4 linked regions of the Notamacropus eugenii genome follow. The protein of the gene in region 4 interacts with the protein of the main gene of each other region in a pairwise test. Links are inferred from orthologs where the notes say so. Each region holds a gene or a part of one and is shown on either strand. Other genes may lie near its edges. The genes, in order: BANP, VENTX, RBFOX1 and C5H1orf94.

Evidence for each region.
Region 1: the proteins of C5H1orf94 (region 4) and BANP interact in binary tests that used the Homo sapiens proteins (3 or more experiments, as listed by UniProt). The two-hybrid records come from large-scale screens. The link is inferred for Notamacropus eugenii from reciprocal best matches to the Homo sapiens genes C1orf94 and BANP.
Region 2: the proteins of C5H1orf94 (region 4) and VENTX interact in binary tests that used the Homo sapiens proteins (3 or more experiments, as listed by UniProt). The two-hybrid records come from large-scale screens. The link is inferred for Notamacropus eugenii from reciprocal best matches to the Homo sapiens genes C1orf94 and VENTX.
Region 3: the proteins of C5H1orf94 (region 4) and RBFOX1 interact in binary tests that used the Homo sapiens proteins (3 or more experiments, as listed by UniProt). The link is inferred for Notamacropus eugenii from reciprocal best matches to the Homo sapiens genes C1orf94 and RBFOX1.

Annotation. Positions count from the first base shown.
Region 1 is NC_092872.1:703,794,658-703,802,549, forward strand, and holds the start of BANP (protein BANP), read left to right. Parts: upstream 1-4,533; 5' UTR 4,534-4,760; intron 4,761-7,892. UniProt on the Homo sapiens protein: Controls V(D)J recombination during T-cell development by repressing T-cell receptor (TCR) beta enhancer function. Binds to scaffold/matrix attachment region beta (S/MARbeta), an ATC-rich DNA sequence located upstream of the TCR beta enhancer.
Region 2 is NC_092872.1:291,926,424-291,934,065, forward strand, and holds VENTX (homeobox protein VENTX), read left to right. Parts: upstream 1-4,919; 5' UTR 4,920-4,962; coding exon 4,963-5,212; intron 5,213-5,742; coding exon 5,743-5,969; intron 5,970-6,088; coding exon 6,089-6,436; 3' UTR 6,437-6,674; downstream 6,675-7,642. UniProt on the Homo sapiens protein: May be involved in ventralization.
Region 3 is NC_092872.1:85,126,748-85,135,270, forward strand, and holds the start of RBFOX1 (RNA binding protein fox-1 homolog 1), read left to right. Parts: upstream 1-5,392; 5' UTR 5,393-5,480; coding exon 5,481-5,567; intron 5,568-8,523. UniProt on the Homo sapiens protein: RNA-binding protein that regulates alternative splicing events by binding to 5'-UGCAUGU-3' elements. Regulates alternative splicing of tissue-specific exons and of differentially spliced exons during erythropoiesis.
Region 4 is NC_092876.1:85,488,624-85,496,561, reverse strand, and holds the start of C5H1orf94 (uncharacterized protein C1orf94 homolog), read left to right. Parts: upstream 1-4,838; 5' UTR 4,839-5,061; coding exon 5,062-5,375; intron 5,376-7,938.

The sequences.
Region 1 (7,892 bases), on a different chromosome or scaffold from region 4:
GAGTTTGATATCACTGCCCTACACTATATGGTAGTCTTGGGGTGAGACTATACCCTGAAGGACTTTCATGTGAATTCTAACCAGCCTGACTGATGACTGTCTTTCTGGGATTACAATTTCAGGAAAGCCCACCCAGGCTGCCTGAATGGGGACTCAGCTAGCTAGGTAACTCAGCTCCTCCTCTTCTGTCTGTCTCCCCTTCCCCTTCCTTCTCCTCTCCAAAGGAAGATATATTTGTTTTACTGGCTTGATTCCTTTATTTTTCCTCTCCTCTCCCCTCCTCTCTCCTCTCCTCTTCTCTCCTTTCCTTTCCCAAAACCTTAAACCTACTGCACTCTGAAGCTCATCCATTGGACAACACTAGGCACCTGTCTAAGGGCTCTCCTCTGGACCCTCCTGGGTCAGAGTGTTGCTGTTTCCCTCCCAGTCTGATATCTTCATTTTTCTTTGCCTCATTAAAGGGGCCAACCCCTGGCTACCTCTTAAACAGACTTATTCAATGAATGGGCATTACCTCACCCTAGGTGAGTACCTGAATAGACCTTGGATTCAGATGATTCTGGAGGAGAAGTGAAGCTGATGACCTTGCACAGCCCTCCCTCACTCAAAACAAAGTTAAGTGCAGTCATGTCACCATTTCTCTAATGGCATGGTCTTCTTTGGCAACAAAGGACAAACACAACAACCTTGTTCCTGGATGGGATCAGTCCAATCTTCTCTCCTATGATCCCATTCAACATACAGTAATCCCTTGTCACCACTCTGCTAAGCTGTTTTCCCCCATTGTAATATAAGCTTCTGTATTTGTATCCTCAGCCGTTAGTACAGTACTTAGCACATAATAAGCACTTAGTCAAATTTTAAAAAATTCATTCATTTAGTTATTAATCAGTGCTAACATTAATTGAAAATTTCCCATGGAGACCAGACAGAGCCTTATGACCAATTATCCCTGAAAAGGCTTCAGTAAGCAAAAATCTGACAGTTTTGGAGAGTTTAGTTGAATTGGCATTGTATATAACTGCATTGAAAATTTATAGGATGATAGGATTCAGGAACTTAGAAATAATCTAATCAACCAACAGCATTTATTAGGTACCTACTGTGTGGAAGAATTGTGTTAGATACTGGGGATACAAGGAGAGCAGGGGAACAAACAGTCCCTGCCTTCCAGTAGATCTGGAAAGGTAAGTGAGAATCTCGTGGTAAGGACCTTAAATGCCACAGGTTAGATTTGTTTCTAGAGGTCAGAGGGAGCTATTGAAGTTTCTTGAATAGGCTAGTGAGACGGTCAGTTGGGACTTTTGTTGTCAGTCATTTTGATCATGTCTTACTCTTCATGACCCTATTTGGGGTTTTCTTGGCAAAAATACTGGAGAGATTTTTGTCATCTCCTTCTGGGTAACTGAAAGGATGGTGGTAATCTAGCTAGAAAGAAGGAGGTTTGGAAAAGGGGTGGATTTGGGAGGGAAAATAATGAATTGTGTTGTAGACATATTGAGTTTGAGATGCTTATAGGATACCCAACTAGAAATATCTCATAGGCAATTTGTAATGTATAGTTAGAGCAAATATTTCTTTTTTATAGTTAGAGAAAAGGAAGACCAGAGAAAGAAACTAATAAATCCAAGTCACCCAGGAAATAGCTTAATTAAATCCAGTAAATATTCATTAAATGCCTACAATGCATAAGGCATTGTGCTACGTGGTTGGACATTTTAAAAAAGAAAAAAAACCTGACATTCCCTCTTCTAATAGATCTTACAATCTAATGAGCGTAGGAAAGCTTTAGCACTCTCTCCAAAGGCATAGTAAATATATTGATTGAGAAAAAGTTTCTCTTGATTGTAATTTCCAAGATGAAATTTTAGGGTCCCTGGTTCCTCAAGGGACTTGCAGGGCTTGAGTGGTAATGATGCATAGGATGGTTGGAGTAGGGGATAAGTCAGCAGTTAATTAAGGTGCCAAGTCTGTATGCTAGGAGTCATTAAGACTAGAAAGATCGAATGCCATGACATAAATCAGGGGGTGAGGGGTGGGCATCTAGATTGTCAACAGATGTTAAATTACTTCTTATCTTTATTATAATCTTAGTAAACATCAAATGGAATGGACATTTAAATTGCACTAAGATTTTTGAGATACCTTTTAGAACAGAAAAAGAAGATTGTACCTGAAACTACAGGATACAGCTGACTTTTCTTTTAAAGTCTATAATAAGATCAACCTGTAGCTTTTAAGGCTTGTCCTGCTTGCTTGGTTTACCTTCTTTTCTTTCCACTATTAAAATTAAAAAAAATTTTTTTTCCTTTCTCTCCTCCTTTCTATCCATATCTCCATCTTCATCCTTTCATCCCCATACCCCCACTGGAATAAAATAATGAATCCCTTGTAACAATATGCCTAGTCCAGTGGGAAAAATGCCCACATTGGCTAGTGTCTGAAAATGTACGGCCCATTCCTCATCTTGTGACTCAGCAGAAATTAGAAGAAAAAATCCATCTCCTCTACAATTCCATTGACCAAGCATTTACCTAGGAAATGCTTATTATGCTCAAAGCTTTGTGCTTGTTGCTAGGACTGCAAAGACAAAAATCTCTGTCATCAGTTTGGAAAGAGCATTAACACCTAGTGGGAATCAGTGAAGTCTTTTATAGAAAGGGGCACTTGGGCTGGAGAGTAAAGACAAGCTCATTATTTCAACTGTGAAATTTCTTTTTTTTCATTTTATTTTTTAAATTTTATTTATTTTTAATGCTCTACAATCACTACCATAAAACTTAGATTTTTCCCCCTACTTACTCCCCATTATCCCCCTCCCTCCCCAAGACAGCATACAATTCTATATAGGATCTACACATACATTCGTATTAAATACATTTTCATTATAGTCATGCTGTGTAGAAGAACTAAAATAAATGGGAGAAATCATCTAACAAACCAAAACATAATACATACACACACACACACACACACACACACACACACACACACACAAATGATCTGCTACTTTCTGCAATTGAATTCCATAGTTCTTTCTCTGAACGTGGAAGGTATTTTGCCTTAGAAGACCACTGGGATTTTTTTTTTTTTAATGTCCTTGCATTGCTATGAAGATCCAAGTCTACCAGAAAAAACTCTCGCACACTGTGGTCGTTGCTGTGCACAAAGTTCTCCTGGTTCTGCTCCTTTCGCTCAGCATCAGATCATATTGAAATTTCTCCCAATTGACCTATGTTGAAGGGCAATACAAGACTTGTACACTGACAGTTCTTCAAACACTTGGAGAAGATGGCAGAGTGTGTTGGTTGGCATAGAGCAGATGAAATAGCATGAAATCTGTTAAATATCAATCATTTAACACTTATCCAGGGCTTGCACAGCTCTCCCTCACTCAGATCCAAGTCAACTGGAAGTCATATCATCATCTTGATAACATGGTCCTCTTTGAGAACAAAGCACCTATGTACCAGGCACTGTGCTAAATGTCGGAGACACAAAAATAGGCAAAAGACATACCCTGTCCACAAGAAGGTTACAATCTAATGAGAGAGATGACATCCAAATTTATATACAAAACTAGTGGTACCTACACTGTAAAACAAGCCAGTAGAGGACTGTTTACTAGGGTCTCTTAAAAAGGTATAAAATTAAAACCTTAAAACCTTTTCAGAAAAGTAAAGTGGTTACAGAGAAGAATTTTGAGGGGAAAAAAGTGGTTTTGTAAAAAGTATGCCTTTGAAAAGTATAGAGTGTACATGTGTGTTTTTGTGGCCAAGATTGTAATAAACCTTTAAAAAAAAATGGAGGTCATCCCATCTATATAATGTTGGAATGACTTCTAAAATCCCTGTGTCTTAGTTTCCTCCTCTGTTAATTTAGGAGGTTGGTCCTTGATTTCTCTGGCCCCAAATGCTGACATCCCTGACTGGTTATTAATTCCAAAGAGGTGCAGCCTTCCAGACAAATTCACCAATTAGAGAGATCTCCATCAAGGGACCCAGGTCATCTGATCATCTGCCTGCCTGCTTCCAGACAAGGCCTCCAAAGGTCTAAATACAGGGTAAAGGAAGGACAGAGGGAAATACTGAAAATCACTTTGGAGGCATCTAATAACTAAATTAACTTAACTACAAGTCCCAGCATTCCATGCAGTGGGAAAACGGGCCAGGATGAGCAGACTACAAATCCCAGCATGCTCTCTAACATAATGACACAGATGGACTACAAGTCCCAGGATGCACCTTATGCCGAGAGCCATGCATCCTGGGATTTGTAGTATTGCCCTGGTGGTTCTTTCGGGGTGGGGGTTGGGAGTGGGAAACGACAGCAGTAAACAAAGCCAAAAGCCAATAAATCAAATTATTTCATCAGTCCATTTAAATGACACTCTCCGCCCTTTTCTACAGTCGGCTGAAGAAGCTGAGAGCACACGCTTGCGTGGGTCCTGGAAAATCAAAACGGGACGAGCCTGGGAAGAGGTGCGCATGCGCTCTGACTGAAGTAGTGACTAAAGGGAGCGGGATCAGGTTAAGGTGAAAGCGCGCGCACGAAGATAAGGGACGAGGCCGGCGCTCGCGCGTCGTTTCCTATTCCCTCTCCTGGCGGGTGGGGGTAACGCGTCTGCGCAGGTTTGGGAGGACGATCGCCGCGGGGGAAGGAATCGCGGCGCCTGCGCATTGCAGCAGCTCCTCTCGCGAGGACGGACGCCATTATCGCATCTCCCCGACAAACACCACGAGAATTCCGCAGCCCACACGGTAATTGCAGCTCCCGCAGCCGGTCGCGTCTCCACCTCCCCCCCCTTCCCGCGGGGCGAGAGCGAGAGCGAGATCTCCCCCTCCCCCGCCTCTCCCCTGCTCTCCTCTCCGGGCCTGGCCGGGCCCAGCTCCAGCTCCCACCGCCCGGCCCGGCGTCCGCCTCAGCCCCGGTGCGTCTGGGTCCGGGCCTCGCTGCGCCCCCCCGGACCGGAGCCGCCGCCGCCGCCGCCGGGAGCGGGAGCGTAGGCCCGGCCAGGCCCGCCAGGCCCTGCTGCCAACGGCGGCCTCGCTCGGGCCGCTCGCTTCCTGGGGATGGCGAATACCGGGGCGGGGGTGGGGGAGGCGGCGGCGGCGGCCGCTTCCTGGGCGGTCAGCCCAGGATTCGGGCCCGGCGGCGGCCCCAGGGACCGGGAGTCCCGCCCAGCCCCCTCCTCGACAGACGAGGAAACTGAGACCCGGGCAGGGAGGCGGCCTCCCCTTTGGGCTCAAGGGATCGAGACCCTTTTGGGGGAGCCTCCGCCTCTTTTACAGATGAGGAAACTGAGGCCCGAAGGGGAGGAGGCTTCCCTAGCATGGCTTGTGAAGTGAAAAAGGGCCCTTAGAAATGAGCTGGTCCAGTACCCCTACTTTACAGGCGGGGAAACTGAGGCCTCGAGAGGGGAAAGTGAAGTGACCCGAAGCCGTGCAGCTAGGAAACCCTAGGCCGTGCCTGAGATCGGGAGTCATTTGGGAAACGGAATATTCCCCGCCTCCTCCCCCCTGAAATGACTGGAGAAGATTGTTTAGTGAATTATTCATGACCCTCTCCCTACCTCCCCCCCTTCTTTCCCAAACATACAGATAACTGCGTTTCTCTTCCAGCTCACCTGATGCTCTGTGTATTGTAAACAGTCCACGTGTCTGTGACCCACTTTTGTACATTTTCAAAGCCCTCAGTTTCTTCAGTTGGGCTTTGCAAACAAAACCTTTATGCTTAAAAAAAAAAAAAAGAAAATTAGCTGTTTGCCTTTGCTTTTTTTCCCCCCACCACTGACTTTGCAGAGTTTGTATTAGAAAAGGAATTTGGATAAATTATAAAAGCATCGGGATTTATATAATTAAATACCTGAAAGTCAAATTACTATCGATTGATTCTGTGATTATTGAGCTTCTCTACTATATTTATACTGTTGGTCAGTATTCTGTCAGATAATACTTTTTTTTGTGAGTTTCGGTTTCTAAGGCAGTTCAAATTTAAATAATTTTGATGAGATTGGGGAATATTTAATGTTATTTGAACAGAGCTGTAAAGGCACTTTCCAGTTTCTGAACTATTATTCTACAGCATATTTGGAGAAGGGATAACTCACTTTAATACTGTGGTGCCTAACAAGACTGATTGTAATTAGACAGTGTGTTAAAAGGTGTGAATATCAGATGGCTAGGTTTTTCCTTTCATGCTCAGTTTTCACATTTTAGATTGGTGTATTGTAAAGTCTTAGCTCAGTAGTCTCATTGGAGGATTACATTCTATGGTTGTATGAAGAGTATACTAGAAGTTATGTTGGTGGAATTTTTTAGAATTGGAACAATATTAAATCTAAAGTATAAAGAAACTTGTGAAACTTTGTTCCCTAAATAAGATACATGGATCTTTGAGTTACTGATTGTTTATGTTTAGTCTGTTTCAGAAAAGAAATCAAGATGTAACCTACTTTGAATTTTGGAAAGACAATCATAGAATTTTAGAAATGGAAGGATCTGTAGAGAGCCTCAAAACAGTTCCTTCAGTGATTTTAATAGCTGACTTTTTGCCTCACCTCATTATTTTTGGGTATACTGATTTGGCTCTTTTGAATCTTAGCCTTGATTTTTGCTTTGGTCAGGTTTAAATTTTTTTTTTCACTTTTGGTAAACTGGGGCAAAATTCAGACAAATATACACCCACAACATGATTATTCTTGAGATGTATTTTAATACTCATACTTTAAGTATAATTTTTTTAGTTTGGTACTCCTTCCATAAATGTGGATTGCAGTTTCTCTCCATGTTCGTTTTCAGTCGTTGCTAAGGAATTAATCAATGCTACCAGCTTGTTGAGGTCTCTGGGTTTTGGCTTGCAGTGTAACAGCATCTTAACTGGGTCCATCCTTAGAACCTTTGCATTCTGGTAGCACTTGCCAGAGCTGACCCTTTATGGGGGTGGAGGAGTGTTGAGAACCCCTGGCCACATCAAACTTTGATTATGTCTCAGCTGGTCCCTCATGGATGTGTTCTTAACATAAGAACTTTTAGTTTGTGAAGAGGAGGGGAACATTTTCACCTGGGAGGGAAAAAAAAATTCCTGAAAGAGAGGGGAAGGTGGTGGGTAGGTGGAGGGAGTGGGCATTTGTTAAGTGCTTACCACATGTTGGACACTTTATAAAAATCATCTCATTTGATAATTATGCTGCCAAGGTGTGAGATGTGAGGGGAAGTACTGCCCAGTGAAAAGAGCTTTGACTGGAGGAATCCAGAGGTGGGACTCTGGCAGTCTAATTTGTCTTGAGTGACTTGGAATGGTAACTTAGTCTTTAATTTTCAGTACCCTTCTCATCTGAAAACGTGTGGGGCTTAGACTAGGCCTCTAAGGATAGTTGTAGTTCCTAAATTCTGATTATTTGTTTACAATAATAGAAATATTTGTGGGATTGTGGTGGGTTAGGTTTGCACTCCATGGCTGTGAAAATTTTTTTCTTCTAGGTGAGAAGTCATCTGAATGGCTTTGGCCCAATTATGACTCATGGCTGAACTTTGACTCTGCCAAACCAGTTGTCTTGGGAAAAGCTAGATTAATTCAAACAAGTGGCTCCCAAGGGGGTGAAGTAGAATGGTGTAGGATGGGCATGTAGCTGGAAAACCCATGGTAAACTTGAACTTATTGAAGAAAAAGAACTTTGGAACAGTGTGGTGGTTAGGAGGGAGACACAAAGTAATGAGAAATATTCTATGTTTCACTTGATGCTCCCATCAGAGTGCTGCATAATTGCCAAATAGAATAAAGATTGAGCAACTTGAAATTTTGTATTGTAGACTAACTACTGTCTCAAGAGTTTATTTGAATAGTAAGGATGAAAGATTTATAGATATATAGTATCTATAATATAGATATCC
Region 2 (7,642 bases), on a different chromosome or scaffold from region 4:
GTGTGTGGTGGGGGGAGCCCATCTAGAAAGCAGGCGCCAGCACCCCAGGGAGGAGGCCTGGTGACTTTGGACAGGACAGTCTGAGGGAGATATGGCCAGCCAGACCTTGCTGCTGAGTGGGACTCCTTGGGTTGGGGGCCACACCTGAATGCTGCAAGGCACCTGATCTGACTTACTTGTACCCCATCACCTTCCCCTGGATTCCTCTTCCTTGTATGGGGGAGGGGTACATACAGACTTACTGAAAGCGACTTGCGCCTTCCCCCTCCTCAAACTTCCCTCCCCCCTGCCTTTGGCCCCTCCAAGGACGGCCAGCTTGGCCTGTCCGTTGTGGACTTCTCTGTACATGTGTGGTCTCCAGAACTCTAGGAGAGCCAATATTATGGTAATAATTATAGCAATTAGTCTTTACAAGTTACCTACTATGTGCAAACAGAATGAGGTGGCTTGCCTGGGGTCACACAGCTAGTAATTGCCTGAGGTGGAATTTGAACTCTGCAACTCCAGAGTCAAGGCTCAGTTTTCTAGCTGAGGCATTTAGGGTTAGGCCCACCTCGCCGCCCAAATGCTTTACAAATGTCATTTCGCTTTATCCTCATCACAGCCCTTCAAGATAGAGACGCTGTTATTCTCCCCATTTTTTAGCTGAGGAAACTTAAGCAGACAGAGGTTAAGTGATTTGAGCAGCATCGCAGTCACAAAGCTAGCACGTGTCAGGGGTCACATTGACTCCATCTCATTGGACCACCTATAGAAGAGGAGCAGGCGGTCAGGTAGGTCAGGACAGGACAGACAGACAGAGATGAGGTGAAGGGCTGGGAGTCAGACCTGGCTTCAAAGCCCACAGGCTCACCTCCCTGAGCTTCCTCTATACCTTGAAAAGACTCGCACTCTGAAGTGGGGAAGGGGGCACAGGGGTCCCTACCCTGACAAATATCACAGCAGTGCTGGCCACAGGTGGTGCTTCGTAGGAATCATTTCCCACTTTCTCTACTGAGTTCAGGAGTGTTACATCCAGTAGAGGGAGCCACACTACCTTCCACTCATACAAGAAGAGAAAGAACCACCTCCCCCTTCTCCCCTCCTCACCTTTCTAGGATAGGTGACTGTGTCCCATAGTCCTAGCTCCACCGCAGCCTCTGGGAGAGATAGGCTAGGCCCCCCCACTACTAAAACAATTAGGCTTCGAAATCCCATTAGTCTGGGAAGTAAACAATGGTCTCATTCCTTTCCAGCCCAGATTCCAAGGCTGATCCTCTGGCCGTCACCCCTAGGACCAGGAATCCTGGGAAGTGGCTCCACTGGAAATCCACAATCAGTGAATGGGTTGCTTTGGCCTTGGTCTCCGGCCCCTCTGCCTATCTTGCCCAGGTGCCCACCAGAGAAGGTAAAGCTGCTTCTAAATTCCTCCTCCTCCCCTCCATGGAGTCAACACAAGGAAGGCCTTAAGGTGTCCTTTCAAACACACTGGAGCTGTCCAATAAATAAATGTGCTTATAAGCCTTTCCTAAGTGCCTGTGATGGGCCACTCAGCCCCGGATAAGCCTTTTTCAGATCACTCCTTGGTTCTGCTTGGTGTCACTGCTGGGTGCCCCAGAGCATTTCACTGACCACAGGCACAGTATTCTGTTTGTGGATGGGATGGGGAGAAGAAGATTGGTATGCTGGCTGTGTGACCCTTCATCCCCTCCCAAGCACAGCCTCCATTTTCTACAAGTTGGTAAGAAAATGGTTAAAGCTGTGAAAATGCACATGATTATCAGGCTGGGTCTTCCCAGGCCCTTCCAAAAGGGCAGGCTAACAATTCAATCACTTTATCTCTAATGAGATAATGTATGCAAAGTGCTTTGCAAAATTGCAACCAGAGGCTGTGATTATTCTGACAAGCCTGGGGCCCCAGCTGGGGGGAGGGGAGAGATCCATCCACAATTAGGTATTAAATGGGGTTGATTTCTGCCTCACCTTCTGCTAGGTTAAAACACGACACTCTGAGAATGGTCTTAAGACCCCCAGGACACCCAGGAGAGCTTGGCCAAGTAAGAGTGAACTGCCTTCCTCACCTTTGGGCTAACCCTCACCAGCTAGATGTGGACCTGAGACTCCAGGTCCCTTTTAACTGCCCCCATACTCTCTGCTGGCAGTGACAGGGACATCCAACAGTCTTGTATCTTCTGAGGATGTCAGAAGCCTGTTCTTTGACTACACCAGGAACTGTCTCCAGAAATAAGGGCGATCTCTCCCCCAGGATGTAATTAGTCAAATTCTAAACACACACACACACCTAATTTAGTGCTTAAGAACCCAGGCTGACACAAAATCCCAGAATTTTAGACCTGGAAGGACTCCCAGCTATTCTCTCATTCAACCCTTCCATTGGACAGTTGTCACAATCACAGTCAAAAAAGAACTTTAGCCCTTGGGGTAGTGATCCCAAAGCAGCACTGTACTTTGGTCCTTTCTCCTTAGCTTTTACTTTCCAAGATCACAGGAGTACAGATCTGGAGTTAGAAGGGATCCTTGAGGTCTTCCAGTTCGATCTTCCCACTCTACAGATGAAGAAATTGAGGCACCCACTTCAAAGTTAAACAACATGATCACATGAACTGCATTAAGAGACAGAACCAGGGTCTGAATCCCTGTCATCTGACTCTTTCCACTAAGTCTCAGTATTTTTTACTTACTCCCATATTCACTCTTTTTTGTCATTGTCTTTGTTTTGTTTCATTTCCTTCTAGTCTGCTGTATTCCTCCCCAGGTCTAGCTTGTCAACATTCTTCTTGAGAAGCTCCTTACTCTGGTTGACCAGGATCACAGGCTTCCATCAGGACCTGAAGAACCACCCTCCCCCAACCTCTACCATCTAACCCTTGTGCCTACCCATTGTCCAGGTGGTGAAGCTGAGGTCCAGCCCAAGAGGGGGGTGAAAGGACATGCTGAGAACTCACACAGAACAAGGGATAGGATGGAGCAGAATTCAAATGTATACATAGATACATACAAATCAATAAACAGTAAGCACCTACTATGTGCTATACCCTGTGCTAAGTGTTGGAGATACAAAGAAAGGTAAAAGATGGTCCCTGACTTCAAGGAGCTCATGGTCCAATGCAGGAAGCTACAAGCAAACATGCACAGATAACCTCGGTGCCAAATAAATAGGAAATAACATGGGGAAAGACTTCCTGGAGAGGGAGGGATTTTTACTTGGGACTTCAAGGAAACCAGGGAAAGCCCTGAGGCAAAGGTGAATTGGAAGACCAACCAGGGTTTTGGGACTGCCTGGAAAATGCCCAGAGCTAAGAGGACAGGGTCAGTTCAGGCTGTACCACTGCATCATAATGTCTCTCTCTCTTTCTCTTTCTCTCTCTCTCTCTCTCTCTCTCTCTCTCTCTCTCTTTCTCTCTCTCTCTCCTTCTCTCTCTCTCTCTCAAGGAGGTGATGTGGAAGATAACTAGAAAAGCAGGAGGGGCAACTTATGAAAGGTTTAAGTGACAAAGAAAAGATTTTATATTTGATCGTGGAGGTAAGGGTGAGCCGTGATTAGTCAGAGCTGTGATTTACAAAGGTCACTTTCACAGATCACAAGAGAAGAATGGACTGGAGTAAGCAGAGACCAGCAGACAGACCAAAACTAGTGCAGTCATCCAGGTGTTCGGTGATGAGGACTTGCACCAGGGTGGAGGTGCTGTCAGAGAGAAAGGGGCATATGTGAGAGATGTGACAAAAGTAAAACCAATAGGCCTGGTAATCGATTGGATATGGGGGGTGAGAGAGAATGAGGAGCTGAAAATGACACCTAGGATATGAGGATGGGGATGCCCTGCTGAGTGACAGGGAAGTTTGGAATCTGGAAGGGGCGAGTTTGAGGAGGAAGGTAATCAGTTCAGTTTGAGATTTCTACCGGACATACATCATAAGAAGCAGTTGGAGACAGACTGAAGGTCAGCAGAAAGGTTAGGACTGGATAAATCGGTCTGAGAATCACCAGCATAAAGATGAGACCTGAATACTTGGATGCTAATGAGATCACTAAGGAAATAGTAGAGAGATAGAAGAGTTAGCTTCTTAAGTGTGCATGCCCATGAGAGCACTGGAGAAGGAAATGTTAAAATCCCCCCCAGGATCTTCACCAAGTAAACCCCATGGATAGTATGGTCCATGGGGTCACAACGAGTTAGACAGGAAGGAACAACGATGTGTAAATGCATATATTTGTAGATGTGCATCCCTAGGGGAAAGGATGAATATTAACTCTAGAGGAGTACGCAGAAGTGTCCTTTCCATTGGTTTTATTATATGGGTTGGACTCTAAGGCCCCTCTGGAAGCCCCCAACCTAACCCACAAACCAGGTCAGTGACTGGGTTATACCTGCATTTATAGGCATGTTCTCTGCCCAAATTGTAGCATGTATTTCCTTGGGAGAATGGCTGGACTAAAGAAGTGGGACTTTCCGGGGAAGGATCTGCAGCTAGTCTTTCCTTGCAGTATTAACAGAGTACCTAGAACAAAGTAGGCCCTTAACAAAGGTTTTTTTAAACTATTTATTGACTGAACTAGACAGAAGCCTCCAGTCCAACGGACTTTAAGGGAGGGAGACCTGGAGGAGCCATTTTCTCGGCATCCTCTTTGGGCCAAGATAAGTGGGGGAGAACTAAGGAGTCCTCTGGGGGAGGAGGGAGGGTTCGGGGGGGGGCGGGGGGGGAAAGGAGGATGTAACTACTGGGACGTAACCACCCGGAGAAGGAACTCAGACATCTAGGAGCCAGCAGAAGTGCGAAGGGCCCCCGGGGTGGGGCTGAATGTAGGACAATTAGGTGGTACTTATCGGAGCCTTTGAGGTTTGTTTATGCAAGCCAGATTGGGGGGTGGGCCCTCAGCCGGCCCCGCAGCTTATATAAGTTTCACCCTGGCGCTCCCAGGAGAGTTAAAGTCCATCCTTTTTGGTGCCCACCAGTCTCATAATGACGAAGGCCCCATTTTCTGTGGAATGGCTCTCTCAGAGCAGCCAGAAGCCCTCACGCCTCGGCCAAGATGACTCAGAGGCTTCCACTGCAGGGAAAGGCCGAGGCGACCAGGTCCTTGGGGGGGATCTTATTTTATCGGGCCTTCCTGATACCTCGGGGTCAGAAGGCCCTTCTACGAGTTCGTGGGTCCCGACGCTACCCGCCGCCGCCGCCGCCGCCGCCGTTGTCAGAGAGTCTTCCTTAGTCAGTAAGTGCTTTCTCCAGGTGTGGTGGTCAATAGAGGAGACCCCGAACTAGAATGGGGTGTGGAGGAAAACCATAACACACGGAAAAGGGCTGTGTTTGGAGGGGAAGAAGAGAGAAGGCGGGCCAAGGGCCAGGGTGACTGGAAGGGACAAGGGAGACAGCACTGGACTGGACTGGACTGGACCAGGCCAGCCCAACAGGGGGACTTGCTGCTTCCGAGAAAGTCCGATTCCTGTTGGATAGCCTTTCCACCAGAAGCCAGGAGCGCGGAGGTCAGGTTCAAGTTGTCTTTAGGGGGCGAGGCATTTGGGGAACTCCTTGCCACTCAGGGCCACGTGTTTTGACCAGTAAGGAAGCACTTAGCCTACCAGCCTGCCCTAATTGACCCATCCCTACGAGAGCTAGTTGTCATTTGAAGATATTCCTGACCTCCCTACCAGAGCCGAAGCTCAGGCCCTCGGTGAGGGTGTGCCGACATGTCTAGGTGGGAAGGCCTAGACTTTCTAAGCGCCGCCTCACCTCTCTCCCAAGAATCCAGGTCTCTGGGCGAGGAGGCTTCCCCTGAGGTCAACAGTGGCAGCTGCGGGCTGTCGGAGGGCCCAGGCCCTGAACCCCATTCCCGGGGCGCTCGCCGCCTGCGCACGGCTTTTACGACCAAGCAGATCAGCACTCTGGAGAGCTCCTTCAAACGCCACCACTACCTGGGCGCTGCGGAGAGGCGCAAACTGGCCGGCAAGATGCAGCTGTCAGAAGTTCAGGTACCCAGACGGGCAGGGGGGGGGCTCCCCACTCCATTCCACCCCACCCCTCGAGCCCCGGTTCTGCCGCCAGCCTGCGGCGATGCTCAACTTGACTTTGACTTGTTGGGCTCCCGCAGATAAAAACCTGGTTCCAGAATCGCCGCATGAAGCTGAAGCGCCAGCTGCAGGATTTGAGGCCCCCCGACCCTCCTCCAGGCTTCCCCCTCCATCTCTACAGCCCCCTGCTTCTGCGCTCTACACCAGTCCCGCCACCAGGCCTGCCATACGTGTACCCCAATTCGCCACAGCTCCGAGTCCCCAGCCTCATCCAGGAGCCCTTTACTGGTGGCCTGGCCCTCCCATCTCTACTCCCTCTGCCTTTACCCCCCAGTTCCTGCAAAGTGGCCCCTCCTGCCATCCCGTCTGTGCTGGCCTGTTTACTGAGCGGTTGCCCAGACCAGGCCTCCTTCCTGAGGGCCTTGTGACGTTGGAGGCCTGCCCCTCTTTCGGGGTGACATTGATACTGAGGAAGGAGAGATGAGACTGGACAGGATAGGACATCTCTAGGAGCCAAAGTCTGACAGGACCTGGTGAAAGAGTCCTCTTTGTTCCACTGGAGGTCCTCAAATATGAACTTATGTATATATTTGCAAAATTTTGTCAAACTATTATGTACAGAAAGAACTATTTATGGAAATATTAAAGAATAGTTGATGTTTTTAACGTCTTATGTGTGCATATGTAATTTGTGAAAGAAACCAGTCCACTTCTGATCAAGATTTCATTCCAAAAGAAAAACAAGTTTGAAATCATTACAAAAGTGGGAGGTTTAGCAGCTGAGATGGGGAGGGAGAAAGACCAGGGAGGGTCATCCTTTCCTGTAGGAGAGTGTGGCATTTTAGAAAATAGGGCCAAGACAGAAGATGGAAAGTGGAGGGAGGTTTGGTTTTTCCAATGTGTGAAAAACATCATGGATAATAAGAAGGGAAGACCCTTAAAAAGTACCCAACAGAAGAGCATCTAAACCTGGAGGTAATAGGGGGAGCCAATTCAATTGGGGTAATGAGAAGGGAAGACCCTTGAAAAGTGCCTAAGCCAATTCAATTCATTGGCAAGAGGTTAGATCCTCATCAATTAATTAGGCTGAGAATTCACTAGGAGCCAAAGCTGGGGGTGTGGGGGGATCTGCTCCTGCACATTTTGGGGAGGTTAGGGTTGAGCAGAGAAAAAGGGAAGAAGGATACAGATTGGGGGAGGAATTCCATAAGTCAACAAATACCCTCCACTCAATTTGAGACCCCTCTAACCATAACCATAGTGTAAAGCAAGGGTTTTACTCCTATAATGCTGGCTCCTACCTACCTTAGGGGTAAGAATATCTAGATTCTACCTTTTAAAAACTGGAGGAAGCCCCCAACCCCATCTGGGAGCAAGTGGACTGCTTGCAACCTAAATCACTGAGTTTGCTAAACTCCTGTTTTGTTGAAGGCCAGAAGCTAAAGCAGTATGTGCACACTAGTCAGATTTCAGAGTTGAAGGGTTCATCTTTCCACAGACCCTAGGGCTGTGGGCACTGAGCTGTGCGCTCTCCAGTTTGCCCTGGTCCTTCCTGCCTAAAGTGCTCGTAAGTGAACCAGTGATCACTCTAGTTAAGTTAGCTTGCATTCAGGGTAAAGGAGAGGGAGCAGTAA
Region 3 (8,523 bases), on a different chromosome or scaffold from region 4:
TACAGGCTAATGGGGGAGATGGCATGAAAACTACTGTGTATAAAGAAGTTATATACAGGATATGTTGGAAAAAATCAAGAGAAGTGACTGACATTTAAGCTTCCTATAAAAAGGTAAGATTTTACTTTCCATTTGAAGGAAACAAAAAGGCAAAGATAAGGAGGGAGAGAATTCCAGACATGGGGAACAGTCAGTGAAAATTCCTGGAGGCTGGAGAAGGACAACCTTAGGAGAGAAATCACAAGGGGGCCAGTCTCACTGGATCCTTGAATATATAATGGAGAGTAAAAGTAAGGCTAGATTGTAAAGGGCTTTGGATGACAGAGGATTTTAGATTTGATCCTGGAGGTGACAGGAGTTGACTGAATGGGGAGGAGTTAGATATGGTCACATCTGTGCCTCAGGGAGATTAATTTGACAACTGAGTGGAGAATGGATTGGAGTGGTCATAGGCTTAAGCCAGGGAGATCAACCAGCAGTCCAGCTATAAAATGACAGAAAAGAAAAAGAGAGGGGAGCATACGTGAGAGATGTGATAAAGGCAAAATTGATAGGAAGTGTTGGTATCAGATTATATGCGGAAAGTGAGAAAGACCTAAGTTGTGTTTGTATGACTGAGTGGATGGTGGTGCCTTTGGCAGTAAAAGGGGGAAGGTCAGAAAGGGTTTGGGGAAAAGATAACAATTTCCATTTTGGACATGTTGAATTTAAGATATCTTTGGGATGTCTAGTCTGAGATATCTACTAAGCAGTTGAAACTCAGAAAAGAGGTTTGGGATGGCTAAATAGATCTGAGAATGATCAGTATAGAAATGATAATTGAAACTGTGGAAACTGATGAGACCTTCAAGTGAAATTGAATAAAGAAGGGAAGACCACCAGAGACAGAGTCCTTTGGGACACTCAAGATTAGTGGGCATGATCTTCATGAAGATTCAGCAAAGAGGGCTGAGAAGGAGCAATCTGACCTATAGGAAAGAATCTATAATATGCGACAGTGAGGTGACTAGCTTGACCAGAATGGAAGACACAATTTGGGGACTGGTCAAATATATACTGAGATTAGATGATGGAGGTCTAAGCAGGATGGAAGTATTTGGAGTCTGTCAGGGGAATAGGGAACCATTGAAGGTTTTGCACCTGGGAATACCAAATTAATGGAAGTGATTCTTAAGTTAGTTAGGAAGTAAAAGATATAATAGAATTGAAGGAATAGCTTTTCTGATAATCTAGGTATGAAGTGGGAGGGTTGTTTCTCCATTGTCATGTGGGCTGTCTTTAATCAAATAATATGACTGGAAGATGCTCAGATAACTCTCTATTGTGATTATAGTCAGTTCTTAATTATTCTGGTACAATTAACTTCCCTGTATATTACCCATAGCATAATATATTGGAAAGCTGCAAATAATTGACTATATTGATTCTATATATTTCAGCCCAGACTGGAAAAGGAATATTCTAGTTCACATAGTCTGGTAAACAAAGATTATCAGTTTTCTCTGGGTTTCAATAAAATGAAATATTTAATGCCATATTTATTAAACAATCCTCTGCATAAATTATTTTTTGATTGGTCAGGAGGAACGTTAGGAATTTTCATTACCTTCAGGTCATCATTACAGATATCAGTTACCATCCTTCTGTACAAGTGGGAACATTCTGTTTAAGAGAAAGTTTTGGTTAATGGGATGCTGTAAGATACAGTTTTTTGTGAGGCTTTGAAAAATTATACTTTATTTTGGATTTTCTGTGGTGATACCCTTTCACAAGTGCTAGTCAATGAGAATTGTAAACTAAATGCACCCAAATGTAATTCTTGGAGTACACGCACATATACATATGTATGTGTGTATATATACATACATGTGTGTATATATGTGTGTATGTGTGCACACACATAATTTTGCTAAATATTCACAGCTATAATCAGAGTGCCTTACCCCTCACCCTTACCCTGTTCTTTAGTTTTTGTGTTCTGCTCTCTTCTCTTCCAAGCTGACATTTAGTCTTTGGGCGTCTGTCACCCAGAAGGAATGGGGGTGGATAGTGTCATCATTTACAATCCCAAATTCTGCATGTTTTTCTTTGGGGGGGGTATTCTGAGCCACAGAAAAGGGGGTGGAGAAAAGAGGGGCAGGGGGAAGATTTGATTAAACTAAGAAGACGTGACAGAAGGGAATCAAAGAGTCGACAACTGAGAAGGGAGTTTGATCATGGATTGAGAGAGAGAAAAGATGAGAAGAGGATTATTTTAGGGAAAGGAAGCTAAAAAAAATCAAAGAAGTTATAAGAAAAATTTTACTTGAAGGAAATCCCTAAAAAACTGCATAAGGATACATCAAATGATACAAAGGAAGTAACATGAAAGGAGAGAATACAGATAGAAAGCAAAGTAAAAAACAAAAAGAATGTAAATTAGCCATTTGATTGAAGACTGGCTTCAAAACTTTGGATAAAATGGATATTTTGTTATTCTCAGAGTGGATAATGATACAGAATACATTCTTTGGAAATATAGTTTCAGATTCTTAGTGGAAAAGGTAGCGAATGTGTTTCTCTAGTGATTATCAGATCCTTCCACCACCACTCCCATCTCCATCACAGGCAGATTATGGAGATAGGAAGTATCTCTGGAAAAGTAAAGGTTGTCCTAAATTTGTGTTCAGAATGTTACCCTGCAGTCCCAGAGTTAAGTAAGCATCCATTCAAAAGGTCCCTTCTCCTTAATCTTAGACTTATCTCATTAAAAGAAATAGATTTTTTGAGTAATTATCCTTAATTGCAACCTACCCGACCTTGAAGTTATATCATATACTTGGACAGTTTGAAAATATCTTGAAACATGAGAGAATACACTTACTACAATAGGTATTGGTTTCCACAATACAGGTAGTACTACGTAGTAGAGGGAGCACAAAATTGGACTCAGGAAAAATTAGATTCAAATCCTACCTCAGGTGCTAACTAGTTGGGTAACTGAGAGGAGTCACCTAACTTCTCTAAACATCAATTTCATCTGTAAAATGGGGATAATAATAATAGAGATGGTACCTGTGCCTTTTAGGGTTCTTGTGAGACTCAAACGAGATAATGTGTTAACAAAAAAAATAAGTGGTATAGCACTTATCGAAGCTGTCTCCCAGGTCTTAGTGCAGTCATAAGCTAATAGCTTAAGATCACACTGAGATTTTGGGTGCATCCCGTCTTAATATCAGATATTACTGTTTATATTTTTTGAAAGTGAGGGTAAAACTCTAGTTTAGAAACAAAGTTTTGTGAAAACCTTTCAAATGCGGTGCACTTTATACATTTTATTCCTTGTGACTGTCAATTTTATATGCTCTTGGAAGGGGAATAAGGGAGTGTGGCATCCCATACCAATGAGTTGATTAGTATCAGGACTTTGTGGTGAGTAAACTCCCTTCCCTAATGGAGAGCATCAGCAGTTCTATGACTTTGAGCCTTAGAGAATTTTCTGAGGCCCAGAGAGATAAAGTCACTTACCCATGATTACAGGCTTATAGTTATCATACAGGACTTGAACCCAGGTCTTCTAAGCTAGTTCTCTATCTACAATGCCATGTTACCTATCAGTAAAGATAATACCTTATGATAACATGAACATATATCTCTTCAGGGTTCTTCAAAAGATTTCCTCATATATGATCTTATTAACTCACAAAAAACCTATTACTAGGTAAGTAATATTACCCCCTTTATTATGTACTTGAAAGAACAGACTCAAAGGAAGGGAAATAATTTGTTCAGGATTGCATGTTTAAGTGCTGAATATTGGATTAGAACCCTGGTTTCATGACTTGCCAGGAACTGTTTTCACCACTCAGCGATAAAGTGACATAATATGAACTGATTAATACCATCTAACAGAAAGTAATAATCTCCTCCTGTCCCTATCCAAGAGTGAAGCTGTCTATAAATGGAAGCCAGGAATAGGTAAACATGGCTATATCCCATGGTGACTTTTCTGTCCTCACTGGTAACTTCTTAGAAATGCCATGTTGGGAGTCACAGCTCCAAATCTAAAGTTAGAAACCATATCGGACTGTTAAGTAAGAGGGGTCAGCTTACAGCTGCTAACCGGAGCTCGTTTGATACATGAGCGTCAATTGTAGAAAAGCTTTCAGTGTGGCCAAAACTCAAGTTTTAAATGGAAATCTGTGCCAAATATTGTCCACTATAGTTACCTAGACAAGTAATTATGCTGCTAAATCAAGGATCTAAAATTAGTATAGAATAAAGACACCTTGACTCTCTCAAAGCACAGGAATTCGTGCCTGGATTCATGAGAAGGCAACAGTGGAATGTAATTTAAGGTACTTTTCTTTAACTTGCCCAGTTTCAGCATATTTCAGTCATCTTTTCTCTTTATAGTTAGAGTTGGAATGTATTCAGCAGGTGTTATTGAAAGATTTATTTTAAGTTCTTCTTGACCTTGAATATCACCTAAGTGGACACAGCACATTGGACCTTCATATAATTGCCTGCTAAAAAGTGAAAAAATCTGAATATAGCAACCTGCCCTCCTGGTAGACAAAACCAGAGGATCAAAAAGCACAGCTGCTATCTGTGCCTTTCAGAATTGTGAATACAGAGCAGCGTCTACACTGTGCTGAACATCTGGTTGAAAACTGGGGGGAAAATGCTGTCAATCTTCATCTGCCTGTTTACAAATAGGTTAAAGTTAGAAGGTCCAGATTTGTACCTGAGGTTTTCAGATTGCACCCAGATTTTTGATGCTATATTGACCCTGATTTATATGTCAGAATCTGACAGTATCTTTCATCAAGAAATGCGACAGAATTGGAGGTTCAAGTTTAACAATTAGAAAGTCTTTTTACCTCTAAACTCATTTCAATGAACATACGATAACACTGGTCAAATTACCCCTCTAAAGCCTATCCCAATCAATCAGCTTTCCATGTTTTCTCTGTCTCTCAAAAAAATCAGCATTCATAAATGCACAAGGCTCTATGTATTAACAAGGTGATTCAAGTTTAAACATCAACCTCTATTTTCTTTCTCACTTTTTATTTTCTGTGTATCTTCCCAAAACCCTACGTGGAATCAGCCATCTACCATTTGGCAGAATTCATTTTGGAGTATCTTAAACCTTGTTGCTTTCTTCCTCTCATTTTTTTTTTTTTTTTTTGCAAAGCTAAATTAACAAAGAGTACTTGGTTAGTCATGTTAGACAAGCTGTTCCCAAAATAGCACCTTCCATTTTGGTATCTCCAGCTTTGCAGCTGCTGTCTCTCTCCGTTGTCTGGGAAGAAAACTTTAACATTAAGAGTTGCTGATGTAGATTTTTTTCCCCTCCGAGTTGACGAGGGGTTGGGCCCTGACAGAAGTTATTTGGCTGTAAGCTTTGTAGTTTGGAAGAACTTGGTCTATAGATTTTCGCCTAACTTTCAATTGATGTGTTTAGCTTCAGTGGAAGAAATACAATCACTTAAACCATGTTGTCGTCTCAAGGAGTTTTGCTACATCCCTACGGCGTGCCCATGATTGTGCCCGCGGCACCGTACTTCACGGGACTTGTTCAGGTAATTCAAGGCCGCTTCCAACAAGCAACTTAACTCTGGTGCACTTAGAGTAATAATTGGAATTTTTATGGTTGAGAAAGCAAACACTTTTAATACAGGAAAAAGCCCTCATGTAGTCAGTGAGAAGACAGTAGGAAATCAAAAAGATGGATCACCCTAATCTGTGTATTGACATCTTTCATGGCTGAATAAATGGTGTAGTTGAGCTATATTTGCTTGTATTGATCTGCCTGCTGCTTAACATTCATGCCTTTGCTTCAAGAGGTTGACCACAGGGCAAAGGATTTGCTCTCCGTTTCAGCTTTCTGAGGGACTCAGCATTCCCAGTGCAGATCATGAGGCAAAGTAACTTACCATGATGTGGTTCAGTTAAGTGCTTTAGCCCAGCAAAAATGAGTAACATTAAATATGCATTAATTCATATGTTCGACTTCACATGGAATGTCTGTTTTAATAGAATTTTTTTTGTAAAATGGAATAATACATTGATGGTTAATTTATGAAGTTTAGAGATCATTATAGGAACCCCCACAATCAGCCCTTTGAGTTTTTAAGGATGGCAAGGAATCGGTGACTTGAAACATGCTTGGTTTTTGAGGAATTAACTAGCAGTTAATTCCATCACAGTGCTCAGAATAGACTGTCTGCTAGCATTGTACGTCAGATAATTCTTCCAAAGGTTTTCAAGGGACTTAGATTTTGTTTAGATAAAGATTGGCCTTCACTGTGAGAATTGTGCAAGCTGCTGTTTTTGGTCTATTGTGTACTGGTCAGAACACTGACACCTGTGTTCTCATTCTGGCTCTCCTCTTATATGGCTGTGTGATCTTGGGCAAGTCACTCGTATGTAAAATGAGAGAGTTGAGTGAAATGATTTCTAATATCCCTTCCTTATTTTCAAGTTTAATGATTCTACACATCCAGGTACTCAGTTGTAAGGTACATTTTTGTAAACTTTGTCATATGGTTATTGTCCAGTACTGTCTTTCTAACATTTTCTGGTTATTATCCAGCAGGTACTTTTCCTACACCTGCCTTTAATCTAAAACAGACCCTTCTCTATTATACTTTGTTAGACATTATGAATAAAATGTCTAATTGTTATTCATAGCAAACAAGCAACAAAAAAGATTTCCCTCCCCCTCACCCACATGCCCCAGACCTGTAGTTTGGGAGTGAGTGAAGTGAATAAAGTCCAGCCCAGCTCATTAGAGTTGAACTAAAAAATGTCTTCAGCACAGACTGTTGGGCAGACACATTATTTTTTCCCCCAACCTTCATTGTAACCCGTTGTTTATTACAAAAGGCTGGCTAGAATATCAAACCTGGGGTGATTCCAAACAGCCGAACAGCTCAATAATTCTAGATTGCTGGCTGGCGCCTTCACTGGAGAGTTTACTCGATATTAGCCACATGTGTATGAAGTAGAAATAAATTGATCTACCTGAGATTGGCCATTATCAATACTGAAATCTTTGTGTTTCTTGGTCCAAACAAGCACGGGCCACTGGTCCTCCTGTGGTATACGAGGGCAGGACTAGAAGCTTATAGGCAACTACTCTTATTTCCATTTTAGATTTTGGGTGAAGGTCAGGACCAGGAGCTCTGTCAGACCCTCTGCTATCCTGTCCAATAAATAATTACAAGCAAATCGTGCCTTTCACTCTATGCTGATTGATGCTGAAATTGCTTTTGAAAGTTCTCATAAGTTCCTGTTATAGATTAAGTGCCGGTGTAGGAAAAATAACTGCACCCAACTGAAATGGGTGAATGTAATCAGGTTTAATGGACTCGGGAGCTTGTTGGGAATTAAATAACTATTGATTTGTTGGAATGTTGCTGTCATTACAAAATGCCACTCTGGACACATTACCCAGGTGATAGATTAGAAGACACAAGAGCTCTTTGAAAAATTTGGGAGATCTGGTTTTATTCGTTAGGTACACCATCTCAGCCAGCATATTTGTGGAGTGTGGTAAATTGCTGTGAGGAAGCAGGAGTGGGCTGTTGCTACCATTTGCAAACTGTGACATTAGTGTGTATTTCCATCTAAGAATTCAGGTTTGGAAAATGTCTTTTTAATACTTCATTAAGGTCATGATTTCATCAGGATAGATGGTGCCCTCTCCACCTAGGAAGATCATGGCTCACCTGAGCATTAGATTTTGGTTTCCTAGGTTGCTTTGTCCAGAGCAACTCATCCCATGGCATCTAAAGTTTTATTAATGAGCTTTTCTGAATTTGCTAACATCAGTCTTCTGATGACAGACAGTTAGGTGATTGCTGAGAACCTTTTCAGCCAGGCAGAAGTGGACAAATCTCTATCACCATAGCCTGAAAGATCCTGCGTGTAGCTTCATGACTCAATCAGGCATCCTGCTAGCACTTCAGTGGAGGCACATTTGCTATCCCTGCCCCCAAATTTGAGAGCACTATGACAGTGACACAGAAAAAAGACTATTGCATTTGGAGTCAGAAGATCTGGTTTAAAATCATAGTTTGGACTTTTCCTTTATGGTCTTGGGCAAGTCATTTACCCTTTCTGGGTCTCAGTTTCCTTACATGTAAAATTAAGGGGTTGTAGTAGATGAAATCAAAAGTCCCTTCTTATTCTAACTGCATGATAATTTGTAAATTCCTGGTCCAGAACCTGTCTCTTTCCATTCCACACCCTGAATGGTCAGAGACTTAGACTGGCTATCTTTCTTTCTGGTACACTGAGCCAAAAACATGATATTAAAATGTTTGCATTAGAATGACAATTGCATTAGAATCACCTGTAGCAGCGTACTGGAGAAAAAAAATTATATCAGTGAATATTACCATCACCAAATGCCTTCTGTTTTCACAGCAATTTAATATCAGGTTCCTTTTCTTCTCTCTGCCCTGGGTTCTTTGCCATCAAGACCAGAATGCTTTTCTAACATGTGAAATACTTGCCATTTCATGGGATTTG
Region 4 (7,938 bases):
TGCTGTTTTTGTTTGGTCATTTCAGTCATGTCTGACCCCTCATGACCCCCTTTGGAGTTTTCTTGGCAAAGATACTGGAGTGGTTTCTCATTTCCTTCTCCAGCTCATTTTACAAATTAAGAAACTGAGGCAAACAGGATTGAGACTTGCCTAGGGTCACACAGTAAGAATGCAAGTCCAGATGTGAACTCAAGAAGATGAGTTTTCCTGACTTCAGGCCCAGTACTCTAACCACTGCACCACCTAGCTGCCCCATGCTGATGGTAATGTCTCATCTCATCTTTATTGTTATTTCCACTGGCAAGGGCAGCTAGGTGGTGCAGTGGATAGAGCACCAGTGCAGGAGTCAGAAGGACCTGAGTTCAAATATCACCTCAGACACTTGTCACTCACTAGCTGTGTGACCTTGGGAAAGTCACTTTACCCCAGTTGTCTCATCCTGAGTCATCTCCAGTCATCCTGATGAATAGCTGGTCATTGGATTCAGATGGCTCTGGAGGAGAAGCAAGGTTGGTGACCTGCACAGCCCTCCCTCACTCAAAACAAAGTCAAGTGCAAGTCATGTCATCATTTCTCCAATGACATAGTCTTCTTTGGCAAAGAAGGATGAACACACACACACACACACACACACACACACACACGTATTTCCACTGGCTAAATATCAGTATCTGATGTTGAACTATTTCATATTCTAAGACCTTTCTGGGAAGAACTTTATTTTCCGGGTCTTAAGTAGCAATGGGTGCAGCACCAGAAGGGGCAACTGCAAAGCTGCAACTCCACAGGGGTTGCTTCCCAGGATGACGGCCGAGGGAACTGGAGTAAAAGCTTTGTCATGTCCAGGGCTCTTGGATGTAGGGTCCTAGGCTGTCTCCATCCAGTTCTAAGGAGACATGGTAGTCTAGGTGGTGGTGGTCTGACTAGATTGGCACCCTCTGCCTCCCATCTCTCTCTCAAGGTGCCTTGCTGCTTCAGCTAAGCTAGCTTGTCCATCCTGAGTGTTAAGGATGACTGGCCCCATCTACATAAGAGCTGCTTCTTCGGATGATGGTTGGGAAGGCTGGGCTGGAAGATCTGGAAGGAACTGCCACTCCCAGGGCCCCTGTGTCTACCTGCTTGTAGGTGGCCATTGGTTAGTAGCTGTTGCTGGCCATGATGAGGAAGGTAGATCCTCTCCTCACAATGACTTCTCCCTTCCATGGTGCTTGTGGAGATGGGGCTGGAGGCAGGTCTGGGTGTTCTGCTATTCCCAAAGTTCTTGGGCTCAGGGACCTAGGCTATCCCCATCAAGATCTGAGGGGCGGTGGTGGGTAAGATGGTGGTGCTGGCCTGATTTTTCTGGCATATGTGGCTTCCCATATCTCTCTCAGGCTTACTCCTTCAGTTTTTTGTGCTGCTGATCTGAATCACAGAGGGATTTTCAATACCAATAATTCCCCATACCTATAAAATCACAAATCTAGAACAAACAATAAAAAAAGCAAACAACACCCTAACTCTGACTTTATCATGAAAATCTGTGAGAATAGGATTTGATAACACAAAGGTCTGTTTTCCAGACAATTTTGTCAGAAATCCACCTATTCTGCAACTGGAAGAACTTTTAGTTTACCATCTCTTTTGCGCCATTCCCCTCCTCCCATCAGAGCTCTCCTGAACCTCCCAGGGCGCTCAGCAAAGATACGCTAGGGTTTCAGTGACTCCAGAGCACAGAAAAGAGAACATCAATGCCGAGCTCCTAGTTTCTCCTGAGAAACAACCAGGCCAACACAAATACTGCATCTAATGAGCACAGACACATTTTGTTTGCAACTAACTTTTGTTGTTTCCCCTCCTTCAATTTTTAATGACTCTGGCAACAGTGTTAGGACCATTATTGGGAGAACCCAGGAGATGGGAGGAGATTGATTTAGATCCTGCAAGAGTGAAGGGAGGCGGGAAGAGGTCCTGGCTTCCTCACTAACTTGGGGAGAGCAACGCTCAGTGAGGGGATGAAGAGAGCAAGATGAGTCAACAGTTCATAGAGAAGCAAAGGCTCACTTCAGCTCTTTCCTTTCCCCCTGCACTCTCTAGTCCTGAAGCGTTTGCTCATAACTCTCTATTCTCAATCGTTTCAAGCTTTTGTTATTCATTCAGTCACCATATGATGATACAAAGACAAAATTGATGAGGATTCTTGTCCTTGAGAAGCTTATAATCTCAGTAGAAATGACAGTATGTTCATATATCTCTATCTCTATCTGTCCATCCATCCATCTATCTACATCTATACACACAGAGTAAATGCAACATAACTGGGGTGGGGGGGGGGGGAAGGATCTGGAAAAGTTTCATGTAGAAGGAATCACCGTGACCTGAGCCCTGAATAAAACCAAGAATTCCAAAAGGAAGGAGAGCACATCACCCACAGAGGCCAGCATGGAGCAGAAATAGAATGTCGTGTATGAGGAGCAGTAAATGGCCAATATGACTGAACTACCAAGTGAATGAAAGGGAGCAAAGTCTGGAAAGATGGGAAGAGAATTTATGAAGGACTGTAAATGGCAAACAAGAGCTGACATTTGATCTTAAGGGGTATAGGGAGTCATTGGAATTTCTTGAGGAAAAGAGTGATGTGGTTGAACCTGTGCTTTAGGAAATTCAATCTGGCATCTGTGAGGTAGACAGAGTAGAGAGACCTGAGGCAGAGAGACCAATTAGAAGGCTATGGCAATAGTCCAGGGAAGAGTCAGTGAGGGCCTGCCTGTGCTAGGGGAGTGGTTGTGTGTGTGGAAAGAGGTTTTGTGAAGGTAAAATGACAAGATTTAGCAGCTGATTGAGATAAATGGAATGAAGTAGACTGAGGAGTGGAAGATGACGCTGATGATGAGAGTCCGGGTGACTGGGAGGTTGCTGGGGCACTGGACAGTAATAGGGCAGCTTTGAAAAGCAGGCTGGCTCACTCTTCACCCTGCATGACTGTGCTACTGTCAGGGCCTGCTGGGGGAATGCAAACTCATTTTAAAATAAAAATGAGCCAAACAGAATTAAGCCAATAAATCTGATGGCCTGCATCACATAATGCGTTGCCAAGCCAAAGAGGACCTTTGAGGGTTGTCGGGGCTTCTCTCCTGCATCTTTAGCAGGAATAATCTAGTAGAATAGAAGGTTGGCCCAAAGGGACTGACTGCTAGGGCCCCTCAGCTTTGTCTATCGCCAAGTGGTTCTGGTGAGAAGACCAGTGGTCGTAGGAACCCTGATTTGCGGATGGGGTTTGAAGGAGGGGATACATCCACCTCTGAAACATGCTTTGGACACCAGCACTGGGGAAAAAAGGGGATGGGGGAGAATTGTAGGTTGAAGTGGCAGAAGCAAAGAAAGAGGTAAAGCCCCCGAGGCTATCCCTCATTTCGTCAGCAGAGCCAGTGTTTCTGAAATTGGAAGAGTGGGGTAGAACCTTTGCAGTTGGGGCTGAGGAGGGTCATATCGTGGCTGGCCAGGCAAGGGAGGCCGTCATCCGGCCTGTTGCCCCAAACTCTCCCTAAAAGTCCGAGGACTTTTTCTAGTGCCCTCCTTATCCCCAGGTCTCCGGCCTCGTCTCCAGGATGGGGTTGCGGGGACAGTAGGAGGATGTGCACTGGGGCGGTAGGTGATACGGCAGGGCAGTTGGCTCGAGAGGGTCAGGAAAGGCAGATGAGGATGGGCGAGGGTCTGAGGTCCCCATAGGACCTCTGCCCGCTCCTTGCCTCTTCAGCTGCATCGTCCCCACAGCAGCTGCCTCCAGGGGCGACTCAGTTCCCCCAGGAGGGCTGAGGCAGGAGCGGGATGTAGACGGGTCCAGACCAGACTCCTCTCCCTGCCCGGGCAGGTAGAGGCCCCAGATCGCAGGAGGTGGGGGGTTTGAAAAACTCGTGCCAGAATCTCACTGCTGACCACAGGTTGGGGGAATGCGGGCGCTGAAGGGCCGAGAGTGTGACCGCAGACCCGCGTGCGCGGAGTGGAGCGCAGGGCGCCGCTGCTCTCTTTCCTGCTCCCTGAAACCCCAGCGTATCTGCGCTGCGGGGGCTGGGGGGGACAGTTAAGAACTGCCGGGTTTTCATTCCTGACAGTCAAGAAGAAGTGTTTCAGTAAAGGAGGTTTGGCGGAAAGGCAGCGGAGGGCTCTCCATTTGTCTCCACTCTGAAGACGGGGGTCTCTGTACTGCTATTGAAAGCACACTAGCTTGGGAGTCAGAAGACATGGGTGCGAATTACTACTCTGTTACCTACCTGTGTGCTCTTGCTTAGACACTTCTCCCTGGGCCTCGTTTGCCTCATCTGTAAAATGAAAAGGATTGACTTGCAGATTCCCTGGAGCTCTGAAACCTGAGCTGTGGACTTTTTCTAGTGCCCTCCTTATCCCCAGGTCCCCGGCCTCGTCTCCAGGATGGGGTTGCGGGGACAGTAGGAGGATGTGCACTGGGGCGGTAGGTGATTCGGCAGGGCAGTAGGCTCGAGAGTTGGCAGATGAGGATGGGGGAGGGTCTGAGCCCTCTCTCCCACCCCCACCCCCTTCCTGAAGGGATCTCGTGCCTGGACTGCCCAGTTGTGAACGCCTCTGGCCAGGAGAGGAACGGAGAAAGGGGAGAGGGGTGGTGTTCCATTACTGAACTAACGTGGGGGAATGGAGGAGTGCAGGGCGGATTATCCGGGCTTCGGCTGCCCTATTTCCTTGTCCTACCGGCCCCTGACTCCCCCTCTCAGCTTGTCTCCAGTTGTTATTCTGCCGGCCCAGTTGCCAGGATCCTGTGCTCCAGGGATTCCACGGTTACTAAGCTACTAGGTTTGTTGTCTTTTATTTTAAAATATTTTCTTCTGGGGGAGGGGGGAGGGGGCAAAAGAAAAGGAAAGAGCAAATAAAAAAAAATCAAAACAACCCCTCCCCCAGAACACACACACACACACACACACACACAGACACAGACACACACACGCAAACACACATAGACTTGTGAAACAATTGTCCTTGGAGGAGAGAGAAAAATCTGACCCCTTAACTCCAGTATCCCCGACTCGATTTCTGGTGAATGAGGGGTTGTGGATGGTCTGTCTTGGAGCCCGGGGCAGGCAAAGGCCCTTCTGCAAAGAGAGGAGGATGATGGCCAGTGGGAATGGACTCCCTTCTCCCACGGTGGCCAGCAAGCGCCCATCACCCCTGGGTCCGTTCCCCAGGCATATCTGGATTCACCAGGACACGCCTCAAGACAGCCTGGACAAGACCTGCCATGAGATATGGAAGAGGGCTCAGGGCCTCCCAGAAGCCTTCCAGCCTAGGACAGGATCAATGGTACCAGCACAGCCCACTTCTGCCCCACCTAGTGCCCTCCGAGACCACGACAGCACTTTCCAGGATGAGTGAGTGTTTTTCCCCTGCCATGACAGAAACTTGGGCTGGGGGACTCTGAGCATCAGAGGTCTGATTCCTTGGGAGGCAGTTGCTTATGGAGAATATTTCCCTTGGCTCCATATCTGTAGCCACTCTATGGTGGCTGACCTAATGTCCTCCCTTCCTCATGCCTCACATTTCCCTCTAGGCTTTCCAGTGCCAACAGATCAGCACAGCAGGTCCACAAGTCTTAGGGCCTGCAAGAAATAAAGCTTCGGGAAGAGTTGTGGCCAATGATGGGTTGGGGCACCTTTTGGGGATTATTCTGGGATAAAGGGACAACTTTTCTTCCTTGCCTGCTAATAACACTTCTCTTCCCAAAGCCTTGGATACGAGAGGCAAGAAAGTTGCATTAATCAGAGCTAGTATGATCTGCCAGTCCCAGAGGTCTACCTTCCTCCAGGATTCCCAAGGTTCTCCTCAGAGATGGTTTAGAGATGAGGATTTCTTGGGAGATGCTTTTCAGAGATGTTCACTTTCCTTCCCACCACATAAACTGATCTTCTTGGTGTGGAGCCACATCTGGAATCCCCCAGCTTGGGAAGCAGCTGTCCCATTCAGCCGCTACAGAAACCTCTCCAAAAGCACACATCAAAATATTTACTGGGAAAGCCCTGACATCGTCAAAGACCATAATAGAAAATTAACACATTCTAGAAGATGGCTGTAAATATGCCTATTTCCTGCTGGGAAACCCTGTGACTGGGAGTGCCAAGAGTCTATACTGGGGCAGAGGCGGAGGGCAAGAGGAAGCAGTGAAACAAGAGCTGGAGGATAGGGAGGGAGAGGCAAGAGAGAAAATGAAAGGCTATGATTCATGCCCCTATTTAGTCTTTCCATAAGTTTTCTGTCTTCAAAGGGTGTTGCAAACCTGAATTAATTACTCCTCGAAACATCCCCGCCAGGCAGATAATGCTGTCCCCATTTTACAGATGGATTAAGTGTTAATAATTAAGTGCTAATTAGAGGCTAAGTGATAATTAAGTGTTGCAGGCCCCAGTGTATGGTTCTGTACAGTGGAGAATGGCATTGGGGAGTTGGTGGAGTCTTTGCTTGCTAATCCAAGAAGCACCCAGGCAATGACCAGCTGTTAGCAACTGCTCGTAGGCTCTTGCAAAGCTTACTTGTGGATCCCAGAGAACTGAAAGCCCTAAGCACATCAGTGGGCTGAAGATGCAAACAACTCAGCGGCCTCCTTTCCCACCTCTCCTGTTCTGCAGTCCTTGTCAGAGAGGAGGAAGTTAAAGGCACTTTAGTCTGTTCTCAGTCTGCCTCAGCTGCATTAGAGAAACAAATATCGCTAGCTCGGTGCAGCTGAACAGTACTTAATGCAGAGCTCCCGGCCAGTCTGCCTGAATACTGAGCTGGTCCCAGGCAGAGCATCCAGTTCCTTCATTTTACAGAGATGGAAGCAGAAAGGGCAAATGATACGACTAAGGCCCCACAGGCATGTGGTATAGCCTAGATTCAGACTCTAGCCCTCTCACTCCAGGGATCTTTCCACTGAAATATACTTCCTCTGGATGACTAAGGGATGAAGTCTTCCTACTTCAGATTAGGCACTTGCCACTGGCAGAAACAGACCTACAGGCAACATCTAGGTGGCACTTATCCACTTGGGATTAGCCATGGGTAGCTTTTAATGTGGGACTTGGTTTCCCCAAATAACCTGTTTCTTTCAAGCTCTTCTCTCCAATCTTCAGTGTTGTATGTGGACCTTGAAATTGGACTGGGGTGCAAATGTATGGGTGTCAGAAAATCTTCACTTTAGTTTGGAGTGCGCCACTGATTACCTGTGTGAGCAGGGGCAAATTGGTAAACCCTTTTCTACCTCTATTTCCCCTTCTTTAATCTGAGTGATGAACTTGGTCTTATTTGTCTTCAGGGCTGTGGTGAGGATGATAAGGGATGAGAGGTATAAAAGTACGTTGGAAATTTTAAGTAAAAAATTGTATAAAATGCAAATTATTATACTTTTAATTGCTCAGATGTGTCTTTTACAATCTCATTCTAACTGTTCAAGAATAAACCAAGTATATCACCATAGTATATCTAGGAATCTGCTGGTGAAGGAGAAGCCCCATCTTTTGAAGTTTATTTGAAACTATGACAAATCTTCCAGTTGCTGGAGTTATCTGGCTTCTGTGCAGGAGGTGAATGGTTTGTGTTTATGAATCCCAGTTATGGAAACTTTCTGACTTGTGTGTATGACCTTTGTTCTGGAACTGTCTGGCTTATCCATGAACCTTGGATCTGGATGTCTAGCCCATGTGCATGAAGCCCAGTCAGGAAACTGTCTGGTTGGAGTATATCACATTCATTAATTTATCTATTCATGCATTCATTCATCCATATTCCTGTCTATTCATTCATCTGACAAAACATCATAATCTTGTCTGAAGTTTAAGAGCTAATATGGTATTTAGGTTCTACACGAACCCCATTCTGGGAGCTGCATAGCCTATGTACTTGAGCCAGATGTATGGGGAATGCCTGGCCTGTATAGTCATAAAGATCAAGCCTGGAAATTTT